Macaca mulatta: one gene and its partner. Each later gene encodes a partner of the first gene's protein in a complex. Links are inferred from orthologs where the notes say so. Each region holds a gene or a part of one and is shown on either strand. Other genes may lie near its edges.

Evidence for each region. Proteins that work in one complex are often made in the same cells at the same time.
Region 2: the proteins of SIN3B (region 1) and PHF12 are in contact, whole or in part, in a cryo-EM structure (PDB 8BPA), measured with the Homo sapiens proteins. The link is inferred for Macaca mulatta from reciprocal best matches to the Homo sapiens genes SIN3B and PHF12. Residues at the interface, in NP_056075.1 of Homo sapiens: Glu307, Phe311, Leu318, Glu322, Val323, Tyr324, Glu325, Asn326, Leu328, Arg329, Cys330, Ile331, Leu333, Phe334, Asn335, Glu343, Leu347, Pro350, Phe351, Lys354, Phe365, Lys395, Arg396, Glu490, Glu493, Leu494, Val497, Tyr545, Arg546, Ile547; in NP_001028733.1 of Homo sapiens: Leu20, Met21, Gln23, Ile24, Gln25, Leu27, Leu28, Pro30, Pro31, Lys32, Thr33, Asn264, Leu266, Val267, Leu269, Val271, Val273, Phe275, Thr276, Asn278, Arg279, Ser280, Arg282, Cys292, Pro293, Leu294, Pro316, Asn317, His318, Ile319.

Annotation. Positions count from the first base shown.
Region 1 is NC_133424.1:17,360,395-17,368,158, reverse strand, and holds part of SIN3B (paired amphipathic helix protein Sin3b), read right to left. Parts: intron 6,867-7,764; coding exon 6,251-6,866; intron 5,091-6,250; coding exon 4,921-5,090; intron 1,191-4,920; coding exon 1,017-1,190; intron 763-1,016; coding exon 670-762; intron 1-669.
Region 2 is NC_133421.1:37,629,362-37,637,125, forward strand, and holds part of PHF12 (PHD finger protein 12), read right to left. Parts: intron 7,329-7,764; coding exon 7,170-7,328; intron 6,565-7,169; coding exon 5,769-6,564; intron 4,523-5,768; coding exon 4,397-4,522; intron 3,659-4,396; coding exon 3,515-3,658; intron 2,178-3,514; coding exon 2,079-2,177; intron 970-2,078; coding exon 887-969; intron 294-886; coding exon 155-293; intron 1-154.

The sequences.
Region 1 (7,764 bases):
ACGGCCTGGCCCACACTGTGGCTGTGGACCGCTGACCCCCAGGACGTTGAGGGAACAGACTTCTGTTGTTTGAAGTCACGTGGTTTGCGGTCACTGCGGTGGTAGCCCCAGGAAATGAATGGAGTTGGCCAGCTGAGTAATGTGCACACACACTGGACCCGCCAGCAGGTGCTGGGAGCTGCAGGCCCCAGTGACCACCCTGGGGGCACACACGGGTCAATGCCTCACTGTCACCAGGATGCAGGAGGTGAGCAGGAAACATCTGTCCCCACAAAAATTGTGACTGGGAGCTGGGGCCAGGTGGCTCCTCTGCTGGGGATTAGGATCAGGATGCAGCCCTGACACGGGAGGTGCAGAGGTCAGCCACGGGGATGCCCTGCGTGGGAGTCGGGGGCCAGGGAGAGGTGGCCTGGCTCCCCTCCTGCCCTGGGATGCACCTGCTGGCTCAGGAGGAGCGGTCTGCTCTTTGGAGAGGGGGCACAGAAGACAGCCTGGTGGGGGAGCAGGGAGGGAGGCAACCCCACCCACCAGGCCTCAAGCAGAGCCTGCCGCCTGCAGAGGGAGGATCTCTGGATGCTGCGCAGCCCGCGCTTGGCTGGTGGGAGCCCCATGCTGCTGCCCTCAGGCGCTCCCTGGTGTGCGTGGCACGGCCTGGGGCCAGGGCCTCACCTGGACCTCCACAGGGTCCTCCGTCTGGGCCTCCTCGGTGTCCAGGAGCTCGATGGTCATGATCACCTGCCCTTTGCGCTGCAGGAACATCACCTGCGGAGCAGGGACGCCGACAACCTCAACTGCTGGGACAGCCCAGCCGGCACAGCGCAGGCTCGCAAGGCCACCCGCCACCCACCTTTGCCACCCTTCCAAAGCCCTGACGCTTCCTGTAGGTCAATGGTACCTCCCGGGCTCTGCAGCAGGGCCGACGTCCCAGCCGCTGAACCAGGGTCCACCCAGGACCGAGTCCAGAGCTGAGTGAGTGGCTGGGCTTCCCGGCTTGTAAGCCCCAAGCCTCCTCTCACCTTGAAGCAGTTCTCGTCGGCCATGCAGCGCTCGGCCTTCCACTGGTAGCTGGTCTCCCTGGCGGCGCGGACGCAGCGGGAGGACAGGTTCCCACCGGCAGCGCCCCGCTTCTTCTCATTCAGGTAGAGCTCTACCACCTTCAGGCAGACGTCGTCGCTCACGAGGTGGTGCAACTGGCAGGAGGAAAGCAGGTGGTGCGGCCACCCTGCCTCCTGCAGGAGCCCCCATCTCACCCACGGAGGAAGTTGGCAAAGGCCAGAAACAAGTCAGGATGGAGACTGCAAGGCACAGGGATGAAGACCAGGATCCTGACAGGCTGTGTGCAGGCCAGGGCAGACCAGATCAAAACCATACCAGACCAGACCAAACCAGACCAAGCCAGACCAGACCAAACCAAAACAGACCAGACCAGATCAAACCAGACCAAATCAGACCAAACCAGATCAGACCAGACCAGACCAGATCAGATTAGACCAGACCAGACCAGATCAGACCAAACCAAAACCAACCAAACCAGACCAGATCAAAACCAGACCAGACCAGACCAAAACCAGACCACACCAAACCAAAACCAAACCAAAGCAGACCAGACCAAATCAGACCAAATCAAAACCAAACCAGACCAGACCAGATCAGACCAGACCAAAACCAGACCAGACCAAAACCAAACCAAACCAGAGCAAAATCAGACCAGACCAAACCAGACCAAATCAAAACCAGGCCAAACCAAACCAGATCAGATCAGACCAGACCAGACCAAAATCAGACCAAATCAAAAGCAAACCAGACCAGACCAGATCAGACCAGAGCAAATCAGACCAAAACCAAACCAAAACAAACCAGACCAACATCAGACCAGACCAAACCAGACCAAACCAAAACCCAACCAAACCAGACCAGACCAGATCAGGCCAGACCATACCAAAACCAGACCAGACCAGGCTAGACCAGGTCAGACCAGGTCAGACCAAAACTAGACCAGACCAGGCCAGACCAGACCAAAACTAGACTAGACCAGACCAGACCTGAACAAAACAGACCAGGCCAGATCAGACCAAGCCAGACCAGCAAACCCTGTGTGCGTGTGAGAAACACATAGAAAAGACACGGAAAAAAATGTTCCAAAGCAAACCCTGGAATGAGCTGAAGGTGGTATGAGTGCAGGCTGTTCCTTTCCCCTAAATGCTTGGATGTAAATACATTGCTATTCCTTTCACCTTTGCACTGAAGAAGGAAGGAATGGAAACAGCAGGGGTTGTGGGGCAGACAAGGCTGGTGTGAAACACCCGCTTGCACAGCCCAGGCCCTGGTCAGGGGACCACACTGCCTGGGGGTTCCGTGTGCAGCTTTGGTGAATGGATACAATACCACCTGGACACGCACAGGTTTCAGACAGCACCTGGCACACAGCAGGTGCCCACTGAATGCCTACTGCTACTGCTGAAAAACAGCAATGCTAATTTTTAAGATAAAGGGAGGCAGAGTCCAGACATGGCCTCGAGGCAGGTTACAAACAGCAGGGAGGGGCCCGCGGTGAGCACCTGGCCCAGTGAGCTACAGGTGGGGTTTGGTGAGGCCACAGCCAGGACAGCAGGGCAGCACGAGGCTCTGACTACGGCTCCAGCCAGACAGCCCATTTTCATTGCTTTGTTTTTAACAGGTTCTAGAGGAGATGTTTATGGAAGCGGGAGATTCTTTTAAAGCACTAATCAATGCTTTCCATAAACCATTTGGTCCAATCTCCTGGTGCCACAAGCAAGGCTGCTGTCCCCAAAGCCATGGCCCATGAGGGGTGCCCGGCCTGGGAGGGCAGACTGCCAGGCCCCGGCATCCCCCTCATCGCTGCCCCAACACCGTGCGCTGGGCCCTGGGCGTTCTCTCTCCAGGCTGCCCCATGCGTGTCTCCCTCACTGGGGGAGCAGCCACTGCTGTGGATGGTGATGGGCAGGGACCTGTTTCGGGCACACAGAGGGAAAGTGGAGGAGGCTTAAGTGACGGTGTCGGAACGCAGCTGTGGGTTTCACGAAGTCCTTGTGGCCAGACATAGAAATCCTCCCAGTCACCAACAAGGCAGACTCGACGGAAACAGGCACAAACACCGTGGACAGCTTTCCAAGAGAAAAGATGTCCCAACGGCCATGAAAGGACAAGGCCCCAACCACACACATGAGCCATCAGGGAAATTTAATGTGAGCCCACCGAGATTCGAACAGCTCCCAGCTGATGGAGAGACGCCCCAGGGAGGACACGGAGTGCGGCCTGGCACAGCAATGGTGGGAGTGATCCAGGAAACTGAAAGTTTCCATCAGTGAGACACACCTCTCTCTGCCTCACCCCAAGGGCAGCAGCAGAAATGTACATGGACGGCCACGAGACGCACCCACGGGGCACCACCCATGCCTGTCCTCAGGAGACAGGTGGACGGAGTGGGGGTCGTTCCTGGGAATCCTTGGCTGGTTGATCTCAACACAGGAATCTCACAGAATGACACTCCCAGGATGCAGCCGGGCACTGTGTGCTTCTGTTAACACACGGCTCAAGACCAGGATCTACCTCTGTGTAGAAATCAGGGTTGTGATGCCGGGTGCCGTGGCTCACGCCTGCAATCCCAGCACTTTGGGAGGCAGAGGCAGGCGGATCACCTGAGGTCAGGAGTTCAAGACCAGCCTGGCCAACATGGTTAAACCCCTCCTCTACTAAAAATACAAAAATTAGCCGGGTGTGGTGGCATGCACCTGTAATCCCAGCTACTTAAGAGGCTGAGGCAGGAGCACTGCTTGAACCCAGGAGGCAGAGGTTGCTGTGAGCCGAGATCGCGCCATTGCACTCCAGCCTGGGTGACAAGAGCAAAACTCTGTCTTAAAAAAAAAAAAAGAAGAAGAAGAAATCAGGGTTGTGAGTGTCCATGGGTGGCAGGTGGCTGGGTGGGGACACAGGGGCAGGGGTTCTTTTGATGAAAGCCCATCCATCTGCCCCCTTCAAATTTGGGAACTTTTCTGCGTGTGTATTTTACTTGCATTAAGCAATCTTTAAAACCTGGAAGGAAACATCCTGTCTGAAATGCTTCTTGTAACTGTGTCTGGGTGGGAGAGTAATGGCATTATTTTTTTCCAGCTTTTTTCCCCGCTTTATGACGAACAGCCTTACTGGGTGACCAGGAAACAGAGGTCACCATGAACAATGACTCTGGCAAAAACCAAGCAGGACCCACGTCCTGGAACCACACCCAGCTCGTCTGGGATGTCTGCTGTTTATGTTTACGTGACCGGTTTCCTTGCGTTGACATTCAGCGGGGGCCGGGTTTTTGCTACTACTAAAACCAACGCGGATGAACACCGCTACTCCCACCCTCCCCCAGGATAAGTGGGTTAAGGTTTTTTCCATGTTGTCAATTTATCCTCAAGAACGGTTTGTCAACAGGAACTCAGAACAAACACCTGTACACAAATATTCAGAGCAGCAGTGCTCACAATCTCTGTAAGGCAGCCACAGCCGAGACGGAGAAACGAAACGTAGCTACCCATGCAACTGACTACTACAGAGCCATAAATAGGAATGAAGCACGAGGGAAATCCAGAGGCAGAAAGCAGATGACTGGATGTCAGGGGCTTGGGGCAGGGGAATGGGGAGTGGCTGCTGATGGGGATGGGGTCTCCTTTTGGAAAGATGAAATGTTCTGGAACTAGACAGAGGTGGTGGTTGCACAATATTGTGAATGTACTAAATGTTACCAAACTGAACATCCAAATGGGTAATTTCACATTATGTAAATTTTGTCTCGATTAAGAAAAAACAGGATAGGTTTGCTGTGCCGACCACGGGCCCCCTTCCCAGGTGGGAGTGAAGTGACGGCAGGGCCATTTCCAGCGTCCTCAGGGGCGGCCCCGCCCCGGCCCGGCTCACCTGCCGCGCGATGTTCTGCACCAGCTTGTCCATGGTGAAGCCCACGTAGGCGTGGATGGTGAACATCTCGCGCAGGGTGTCCTCGTACTGCGTGGGGTCAATGCTGCCCTCCAGCAGGCTCCGCACCATGTCCAGGAAGGCTGGGTAGTACTCCTCCAGCTCCACTTCACCTGTGGAGACACACCGCTTCATCCACATGCCTCCTGGAGTGCATAAAGCCACGCAGGCCAAGCTCTGGCACCACAGAGCCCCAACAAATGCCCCCGTGGGGCCCAGCAGCCCTCACCCGCCACCCCTGGGGCAAATCTGGGAATCACCAGGAAACCCAAGTAGCTGGCGTTCACTGCCACCCTCCCTGAGGCTGCCTAATCTGGCCGGCAACCCAGGGATGGCACAGAGAGTGTTGTGGAGCCAGGCATGGTGGCCCGTGCCTGTAATCCCAGCGCTTTGGGAGGCTGAGGCAGCCGGATCACCTGAGTTCAGGAGTTTGAGACCAGGTTGGCTAAAATGGTGAAAACCTGTCTCTATTAAAAATACAAAAAATTGGGCCGGGCACAGTGCCTCATGCCTGTAATCCCATCACTTTGGGAGCCTGAGGCAGGTGGATCACAAGGTCAGGAGTTTAAGACCAGCCTGGCCAAGATGGTGAAACCCCGTCTCCACTAAAAATACAAAAAAAATTAGCCGGACATGGTGGCAGGTGCCTGTAATCCCAGCTACTCAGAGGCTGAGACAGAGAATTGCTTGAACCTGGGAGGCAGAGGCTGCAGTGAGATCACACCACTGCACTCCAGCCTGGGCGACAGAGCAAGACTCCATTTCAAAAAAGAAATACAAAAAATCAGCTGGGCATGGTGGCAACCGCCTGTAATCCCAGCTACTTGGAAGGCTAAGGCAGGAGAACCACTTGAACCCAGGATAGTGGAGGTTGCAGTGAGCCGAGATCCCGCCACTATACTCCAGCCTGCGCAACAGCGCAAGACTCCATCTCAAAAAAAAAAAAAAAAAAAAAAAAAAAAGAAAGTAAAAGGGCACTGTGGAGCTGGGCCGTGACGGCTCCACGAGAAGGCCCATGAAAAACAAAGGTTCCCCGGTCAGGAGAGGGTGCTACACCCAGGACAGGTGCCAGTGCCGGCGGAGCCTGGGCGAGGGGTACCTGAGACCTCTGTCTTATGCTGGCAACTTCCTGTTTGCAATTTCCCATCTGAAATCACAGAATTCTCTTAAAACGAAAAACCAGGAAGAAAAGTAACAGGACATGTCAGATCATGAGCTGCGACCCCAAACCCCAGGCACCCCCCAGGGCCTCCGGCAGGCTTCGGAGCCTTACTGGGCTGCTTCAGCCGCAGCTCCATGGCGGGGTCGCTGCCCTTCTCCCTGCGGCCCTCACACAGCAGCTTCTCCCGTTCCTTCTCGGTCCGATACTCCAGGAGCTGCTTCTGCGCCTGGCGGTAGATCTTCAGCAGCCTGGAGCACAGGGTCTGGTGCAGGCGCAGGAAGAAGTACCAGTTGTTGTTGGCAAAGAAGAGGCTGTAGACGTCGTCCAGAGGCTTGTGTGGCGGTGGGGGTGGCGGGGGTGGCTGCTCAGTGGTCGGGGCATCCCCAAAGGCCCCCTTCTCCTCTGGGGGGCTACTGTGGGGTCCTGGCGCCGGCTTCTTCCGTTCGCTGGGGTCTGTGCTCTGCCCCTGGGGGCTGTCCCGGTCCTCGTCGGCTGACTCCTCAGAGGCGCCCAGGTCCAGCTGCTGAGAGAAGAAGAGGCTGGGCACGAACTGGTGCAGCAGCTGGTGGATGGTGCCCTGGTCCTCCTTCTGGATGGCCGGCTGCCGCTTCACGTAGTAGCTGATGAGCGCTGCTGCGTCCTCCAGGATCTGTCGGTCCTCGTACACGAAGATGAGGTGTGGCTCGCTAGAGGGGGCGCTGCGGCCCTCCGAGTGCTGCTCCTGGTGCTGTGGGGGAAAGGGCGGCCATGAGACGGAAAGCCACCCAGCACCCAGAGGACCCCCCGTGCCCGTTCACAAGTCGCTGTTAACTGGGCCACCAAGGTGGACGAGTGCTGCCCGGAGCAGGATGGGTGGCCAACGTTGGGGAGAGGCAAGGCCTGGGGGGCGGGTCGCTTGCCTCAACCTCCTGTGCAGCCCCACGTGCCCCTGGTTCCCTCTCCGGAAGCAAGGCAGACCCAAGTCATCCTGGGACCCAGTCGGAGGAGCCGAGAGGATTCTGAGATATGGGGCAGGGTTCACAGGGGGTCTGACAGCGTCAAGCCTGGGTCTGTCGCTCAGCCCAGCTCTAGGGCAGAATGGGGGCCCTGTGGCTCAGCATGGGGAAACCTCTGAGGCTGACCTCCTCCTACTGACAGCAACGGTGGCGCCTGATTCCAGCTTGACCGGGGCTGCCCATACCACGCTATCGATGAGGTCAAGGAGGCACAGGGTGAGCCGTGACCTCTCTGCTGCTGCCCTCCATCTACTACCCAGGAGGCCTGCAACTGCTCACATCTGAAGCCCTGCACGCCCATCGTCCCCAAGTCCCCACCTCCGCTGCTGTCACCCGCCAGCCCCTGCACGTGCTTGCTACCACCGTCATGTCACCAGCCCTCCCACCAGCTCTCACCAGCCTGTTCCAACCATTCTCCTCACTGGGTCCAGGGCGACTTGGCCCACAGGAGCATGGTCACCTCAACTAACACTCCTGAGGCACTGCCCCTCAGAAGATGCCAGCCCTTGGGGTGCCCCTCCATAGCCCCTCCAGCCTCACGGCCCCCAGGCTCCTTCCTGCGATGCTTCAGGGCGCCGAGCTCCCTCCTGTGGGTGCGGGACCTTTGCACATGCCCATTTGCTCTCGCTC
Region 2 (7,764 bases), on another chromosome or scaffold:
AGCACTTGCTTCTCTGTGGCCTGCCCTGGGCCCATGAGGAAGTAGAGCTTGGCCAATAGGACTAAGAAGGCAAGAGACAGACCATGGGCAGCAAGTCAGAACCACCCTGACTGCGGCCTCAGCTTTGTGGCCACAGACCTCTGCTCCAACTTACTGATGACACTCTGCACTTTGGCAACAATACTGCTTGGGGGTGTTGGCGGGGTCTTCTCCGAGAAGTCACATGAATACAGCACATTGTCCACCGTTGTCCCATGCTCACTGTAGTTTAACAGCTCATAATGTTTGGTATTCTGAGGAGGAGGAGGGGAGATAAGATGTGTGGTTGGCTGTGTGGGGCATGGGGCTAGGGGGAGAGGACATATGGAGAAGGCCGTGCTGCTCTACCTAGGGAACCCTTACTTGCCTCCCCAGTCATGGCCCCTGTCCTTTCAGAAGGGGGCTGCAGATACCTCCTCAGGGAAGCCTTCCTTCCGGTGTCCCACACCCCCTACTCTCCCAATCCTCCTTCACTCTGCCTTCTCAGCACCGCTCCTCTTGGTGTGATACTCACTGGCCCATGATGATAATGAAATTCACAGGGACACATCCACAGGGCTTGGCTTCCTTCTATGCTGGTCCCCTCCCCTGCTTTAGGGTAGGCTCCCTCTGCTGTGCCTGTGACTAACCTCAGGAAAAATGGTAGCCCTGCTCCTGTGAAGCAGGTACCCCTGGTAGGATGCTGTTTTACATCAAGACTGTCCTCCTCCAGGAATGACAGGGAGGGAAGAAAAGGAGAGGACTCCCAATCCCTCTTCCCTCCCCTCAGGGCACTGAACAAAAACCTACTGCTTGGGAGAGGCCTTAGGTTGGGAAAGCTCCCTCCCACCGCATCTCCAGCCCTCACCTCATCGTAGAATATGCAGGCATGTTTCCCGGACACGTAGTTACAGTGACCATAGTTTGTAAGGCACACATCCATGTCAGCTCCTGCAAGATGGCAGGAGTAGAGGAAAAGGAAGGCAGAGAACAGATTGTAAGGTGCATGTGTCGGGGAGGTGAGACAGGGAGGGAGTTAGCTTCTGGGTTGGCACTAGCAGAGACTTCAAGGGTGAGTAGCTCAGGGCCCTCCCCTTTTATTTTTGAACAAAAACTGATGTCTTTTCCAAGCTCCTGATAAAGAACAACTGTCCCTGCCAGCTGATCTGCTTTAGAACATGTGGCTGCTACCCAGAAGGGAACAGTGAGCTACTGAAGAGGATGGGATATTTCTATGAAAATACAACAAGAGGGTGCAGAGCCTAGAAAATCATATCACCTTAAAGAAAGGGAAGTTTCTAGGGTAAGGACTAATCTGTCTGTCCTTCTGTACCAGATATAGAACTATCTGTCTCTAGGACTTCTAGGGAAAACAAAACAAAACAAAAAACAGATACAGGGCTAACTGAAGATTGGGTATGTGTGAGCCTATCACTCTTTCAAAGACCACCAGGGACAAAGCATCTGCCTTCTCCTTGGGTTCTTCCCCGCAGTGTTTAAAGTGCCTCCCTGGGCAGTAGTCAGAGCTGACTTTCATCTCTGCTGATGCAACACTGGGCAAAGACAAAGCAAAAGGGCCTGAACAAGGGAAGACAAGGAACTGATCGTCTCTTTTATTTTTGAGACAGGGTCTCACTCTGTTGCCCGGGCTGGAGTGCAGTGGCATGAATAGGATCACTGCCTTGACCTCCCAGGCTCAGGTGATCTTCCCACCTCAGCCTCCCAAGTAGCTGGGACTATAGGCATGTGCCCAGCTAATTTTTTTGTATTTGTTTTTGGTAGAGATGGGGTTTCACCATATTGCCCAGGCTGGTCTCGAAGTCCTGGGCTCAAGTGTTCCTCCTGCCTCGTCCTCCCAAAATGCTGGGATTATAGGCGTGAGCCACTGTGACCGGCTGATTGTCTCTATTCTTAATTTCTCTTGTCTAGCTATCCACTGGTTTAAAGCAGTCAACTCTGGAAAGGGCTTCCCTCACCCCTTTCTAACTTCTGTGGGTAAGGGTATCAGTCTTTAGGGCTGAACAGATTCAGTGTCTCTCCCAGCTTCCTGGCTGGCTCACCTGTCCCGATGTAGAGGGTTCGATAGCACATGTTCACAGCTCCTCCCAACCCTAAGAGGGGGTAGAACACAGCTCGGGCCTGTACCTCCTTTCTTTGCACTACAAGACAAACATAGGAATAGGATCATTCAGAAACTCAGATCCTGTGATCCAAACATAAACCAACAAAATCTGGACTTTTGGCTCATGGCCTGGAGAAAATCCCGCTGGATGACTCATCTTTCCAGACTCACATCCAGCACTGAGCTGCTGCAGGGTAGACTTTCTCTCCCCACCCACAGCATTTCCAACACAGGGTGCAGAGGACCATCTTTGAAGATAGTCAGAGAAGTCAGAGATGACAGTACCCTGTAAGTTCCTGGGCTCCTGGTTGGCTAATCTGGGATATTCCAGCTGGTACTATAGGGAGAACATGGAAAAACAGACCGCATGGACCAGTGTTTCTCAAACTTTAATGTGCATATGAATCGCCTACATATCTTGTTGAAATGCAGATTCTGATTCAATAGGTCTGAGGAGGGGCCTTAGCTCTGCATTTCTTTTGCTGTTTTCTTTAAAAATAGGCAAAAAACCAATGCACTGAGCTCTGCATTTCTAACAAGCTCTCAGGGGCTGCTGATGCTGCTGGTCTGGGAACCACACTTTGAAGCAGCAAGGCTTTTAATGGCCAGTGCTCAGACATACCTGAAACAGAGTTAACCACTTGGGGAAAATTTCCAGAAGGCTGGCCTACGGTTATTCTATTTCTCACCTTGAACTTGAAAAGTTCCTTCTTGGGAAGCCATTCTTTTAAAAATTTTATTTATTTATTATTTATTTAGAGACAGGGTCTCACCCTGTCACCCAGGCTGGAGTGCAGTGGTGCAATCATAGCTCACTGCAGCCTTGACCTCCCAGGCTCAAGCGATTCTCCCACCTTAGCCTTCCAAGCAGCTGGGACTACAGGTGTATGCCACCATGCCTGGCTAAGTTTAAAATTATTTGTAGAGATAGGGTCTCACTGTGTTGCCCAGGCTGGTCTCCAACTCCTGGGCTCAAGTGATCCTCCCGCCTCAGCCTCCCAAAGTGCTGGGATTACAGGTGTGAGCCACTGCACTCAGTCGGAAAGCCCTTCTAATTCAAATATTTGAAAGCAAGTAAGCAGAAAGTACACTACATATACCCAAAGGTACTGGTAGCTGCTTTGCTGTGTCTCAAAGTGGACTTATATATGAAAGAAAGTTACAGCAGACTTCCCCAAGTCTGATAAGAAAGCTGTGGTTGCCATCTTGTTCCTGCTCTCTTCAGAAAAAAACCATGGTGCTTTATTAAGCCCATGAAAAGCACACAAGAAGATTTGAATACTGGAAGCTCAGATTCTCCATGGAGGCAAGGTGACCATTCGCACACGTAGAGGGGAGATCTGATGATGTGGTGACAGGTGTGTACATGCGCACCTTCTGTGTGGTGCCCTCCAGAAGCCAGCTGATGTGTCCCGACACTGCCCGGTGAAGGTTGGACCCGGGAGGGGAAAAGCTGATGTATTCTCTGCAAGGCCAGAAACTTGATCAGCTTCTCGTCCAGCATATTTATCTCGATTTCTATTAGCCAAAGAGAAAGATTAAAAAGCTGCTGAGATGGAAGTGGAATGTGGAAGCAAATCAGGGTCACAGAGCAAATAGTTCGGCATTTCTAAAATCCAGTCAAGTAACTTTTACTTAAACAGCATTGAGTACAGAGCATACAAGGATCTGCAGCTGGGCATTTCACTTGCTATTTGCAGTGAGATGGGTCCCAATGCAGCCTGTGCAGCTGCCTCCTGTAGTTGGGTGAATTGATTTTAATAGTGCTCCTAGAACGGCAGAGTGGAATAAACCACTTGCCTGTCTGTGGGGGAGGGCCTGGATGTCTGATATTGAGACTTGAATTTTCTACCCACCTTGTGTTCACAGAGATCAAGATCTGTCCCTGTTCTCCTGGACTTTAGGGGTTTCCCACAGATGAGGTCCCTCCTTTGGGAGTGAGGATCCTAGTTTTATTCTGCAAATCCAGGTGATCTGCCTAAAGTGATTTTGTTTTTGTCTCACTGGTTCAGCTTGGCTCTGTCCTCCCTCCATCTTTGATTATGTGTATATGCACAGGTAGAAGGCAGAGCTAAAGAAGGAGCTTTCTTTTTCACCCTACCCCCCTATCCAAAAGGATACTCCTCATTCCCATCTCCCCCTAGGCCTCTGGGATCAGGTGCTCCTTCCCTCCCTTTCTGAAATGAGCTGAATGCTGTATAGGAATAGCACCTTCAACATAGCAACCAATGGAACAGCAGCAGCTCATTCACTCACCTCCATTGACATCCATAAATGCTCGAAGTGAGTTGGTGAGGTCCACCATGGCAGTAGAGTTGGCTGGGAAAGAGGGTACGGTTAAAGCGCTTCCTATGGATAACGTGCCGGGGCTGACCTTGCCATCTGGGGACGGAGCAGGAAGACTGTTACTTACGTCGCCTGAGGGAAACCCACCGGTCCAATCCCCCACTGCTGAGACAGGTCTGGATTTCGGACCCAAGGTGATGTTCCCTTCTTGATTCTCAACCCATAGGCTCTGGAACTCCTAGAGCTAAAAACGTGTGGTGAGGAAGGGCAGATGGAATGACAAAGCACCCGGGCACGCAGGAGTCTCCAGAGCACTGGGAATCATTGAAATCCACTGCTCTGGGGAAAGTGGTGGGGCAGCTTCATTCTTTGGGCCATGACCACCTCCCTGCTGCCTCTACTTTTAAATAAGTGGTGCCTGCCCTTATAATTCCTGCCTACTGAAATATGACTCACAGCATGGAAAATCTACCCACACTGGTATTAAGCGATAAACAGAGACAGGAAAACAGCCTGGGAGTGGGGCCATCCTGGGACCAGGGGCCCCCATGCAGAGAAATCACAGTCACCTGGTTACCGAGACTCCCAGCTGACTAGGAGGCCAGCTTCAGTTCAGACGGGAGAGACCACAGGGGGTTCCGGCAGCATCTGAAACCTGGTTCAGATGCCGGGGTCAGCAACCTCAAGGTACTGAGTGCTGTCTGGGGACAGCTGAGAGAGCAGGTCCACAGTAGGCCAAGTACAGACCTAAAGGACCGCCCTTTGGCATGTGGCCCGAGGGCAAGCTTCTGGGCTAGACCAACCCCTGTGGGCATCCCACTCTACAGCTCCTCTGAAAGACAGTGCTGCTGTCTATCCCTGCTTCCTGACACGGAAGTCCATCAGATGAACTCTGAGAATATGCATCAAGCATGAATCCATTCTTTTGTGCGGATCTAACAATACTGAGGCCATCACGCAGAACCTCAGGCTGATCACAGTAATTCCAGAGAGCACCCTGCCTTCTTTTAAGGTGACAGAACAAAACAGGCAGAAGCCTAGGCCTGGAAGGTGTGGGATGGAATCAGGAGACCTGGGCTGTGGTTCCAATCCTGCCACTGACTCCGTAGGTCAATTTAAGGAAATCACTGAAGCTTTCAGAGTCTAAGCAGTCCCATCTATAAACGGGACAAGTTAACATGTGCTTCCTCTTCTATTACGGAAATGGGAGTAAGACAAACAATACAGAGGCCAAAGTCCTCTGAAGTATTCACAGGGATATAAGTGCTTTTGGAATCTTGTCTTATTTGCCAGAAAGAGCATAAAATTATTCCAAATCACCCCAAGGCTGAGCAGCACTCACCTGATGATGGCGCTGGTGAGCTGAATCGTTGGTTGGCTCCTGTGGCCAAGATACCATCTCCTGCTGCTTGGGGGGGAGTGAGCACCCGGGTGGCATTTGGGGGTGAGCCCAGTGGCCTTGAATCTGTCAACGGAGGTCCTATCTGTGATTGGACAGTCTTTCTTTGCAAAGTGCTGGTGTTCTCGATGCTGGCACAAGAGCTGGGAATGGAAGGGGGCAGGCTTGGGACAGGAACCAAACTCCTCTGGGGGCAAGAGCTGGGGTCAGTGGCATTCTCTGTCTTCACAATGATGCCGACGGTGTGGTTCTGAAGGCCCCCAGCCGCTGGTGGCGTGAGGGGCCGGGGCCAGCCTTGCCGGTGTGAGAGGCCTGGTAGGGGGGTGTTAGCGCCTGGAAGTCGCCGGGGGTCCGCGGAATCAGTAGGGCTGCTGTAGAGGTGTGGGCCATTAGCTTTCACCTCTGTGTTCACTGGCCCATTGGCAGTCCCACAAGGGGTTTTCTTGGATTTTTCTGCACAAGAACTGCAGCCGATGTCCTCTAGGGCTGGGGGCTGGTGGGGTGGAGAGCAGCTCAAGGAATTCTGGGTGCTAATCCCTGAGGGGCAGGACAAGGGGTAGTGGGAAGGTGTAGGTGTCTTGTCAGCTGTTTGCAAGGAGGTGGTGATTGAGCCGTCAGTCACAATAACAGGCTTAATATCAGCCTTCTCTGTCTGTTCAGAGTCCCAATGCGAAGGCATCTGCTTAGCAGATAAATGTTTCAATATGCTGCACTGGAGCGCAACAACACTACAGAGCCACTGCAATGGAAGGAGAGGAGAGGAGACGGGGGTGAGAGGTCTGAGAGGTGCTGGTCCTTCCTGCCACAGTGGTTAGGGCTGCAGCAGAGCTGACAAGCAGTTTCCAAGGTCCCATTGCAAATGCTCACAAAAAGTGTGCTTGACTCCTCACAGAATTCCATTTCCATTCCCAAGCAAGACTTGTGGGTACCCTCAGCAGGAAACACATCCTCTGGCCAACAGAGCTTGGGATCTGCATTTTGACTCTGCCTTTAAGGCTTACTTGTGACCAATATTCAGCAAGTACCCCGAGCACCTGTGGTATGTCCAGCACTATCACCTAACCTCTCTATGGGTCTACTCATCTCTTTCTACAGTATAGATTTGACCATCTCACAGTGCACTGGGGTAACAACGGAGAGAAGTAGACCAGTTGCCTTTGTAGATCTCTTACTTGCCTTTGGGATTTGAGTCAGAGGTTCCCCCTGGATTACTCAACTCTTGAGGGGTTAGGATGAGGGTGGGTGGGGACTGGAATAAGAATGACACTGAGGCTACTTCCGATAACAGCTGTGGTGACATGGAAGGAAGATTGGGTTTGGAATCCCAGCCCTGCCTTCACTCACCTCTTGCTGCTCTGCTTGGGTGGCTAAGTGCTCAGAGTTCAAAAGGTGCATCTGTGATTCCTCAGGGATCCCATTGCAGATCAGCTCCCCGTCCCGAATGGCCGCGGGTGCAATGAGAGGGGGTGGAAACTGGTACTGAGATTTTATAGCATCGGGAACCTGTTCAGGATAGATAGGAGGAGGAAGGAGAGGGAGATAGTTCCAACATGTCCAGTTGATTCTGCCCTGGTATGCTGTTCTGTCTGTGGTGCTGGTGCTCAAGGGACCATCCACTCTGGGGTCCGCTGAGGAAAAGGAAGCTCAGAAATGGAAATAGCAGGTGAGGCCTCCACTTTTCTTCATCAAGGTCTAAGGCCTGCAGAACACAGAAACCACTGCGAGCTGTCTTCTGCTTCAGCCTGAAAGGTGTAAGACTGGCACTGGACAGGACTTCAGAGTGGTACTCTGGGTTCTTATTGCTCAGTGTCAAGTTTGGGAGTGGGTGAGCAGTCACTGAGACAGAAACATGCTTGACATGAGGCCTGGCTCATGATAAGCACTCAATCAATGTTAGTTTCCTTCATCCATTCATTCATGACTCATGAAACAACTACAG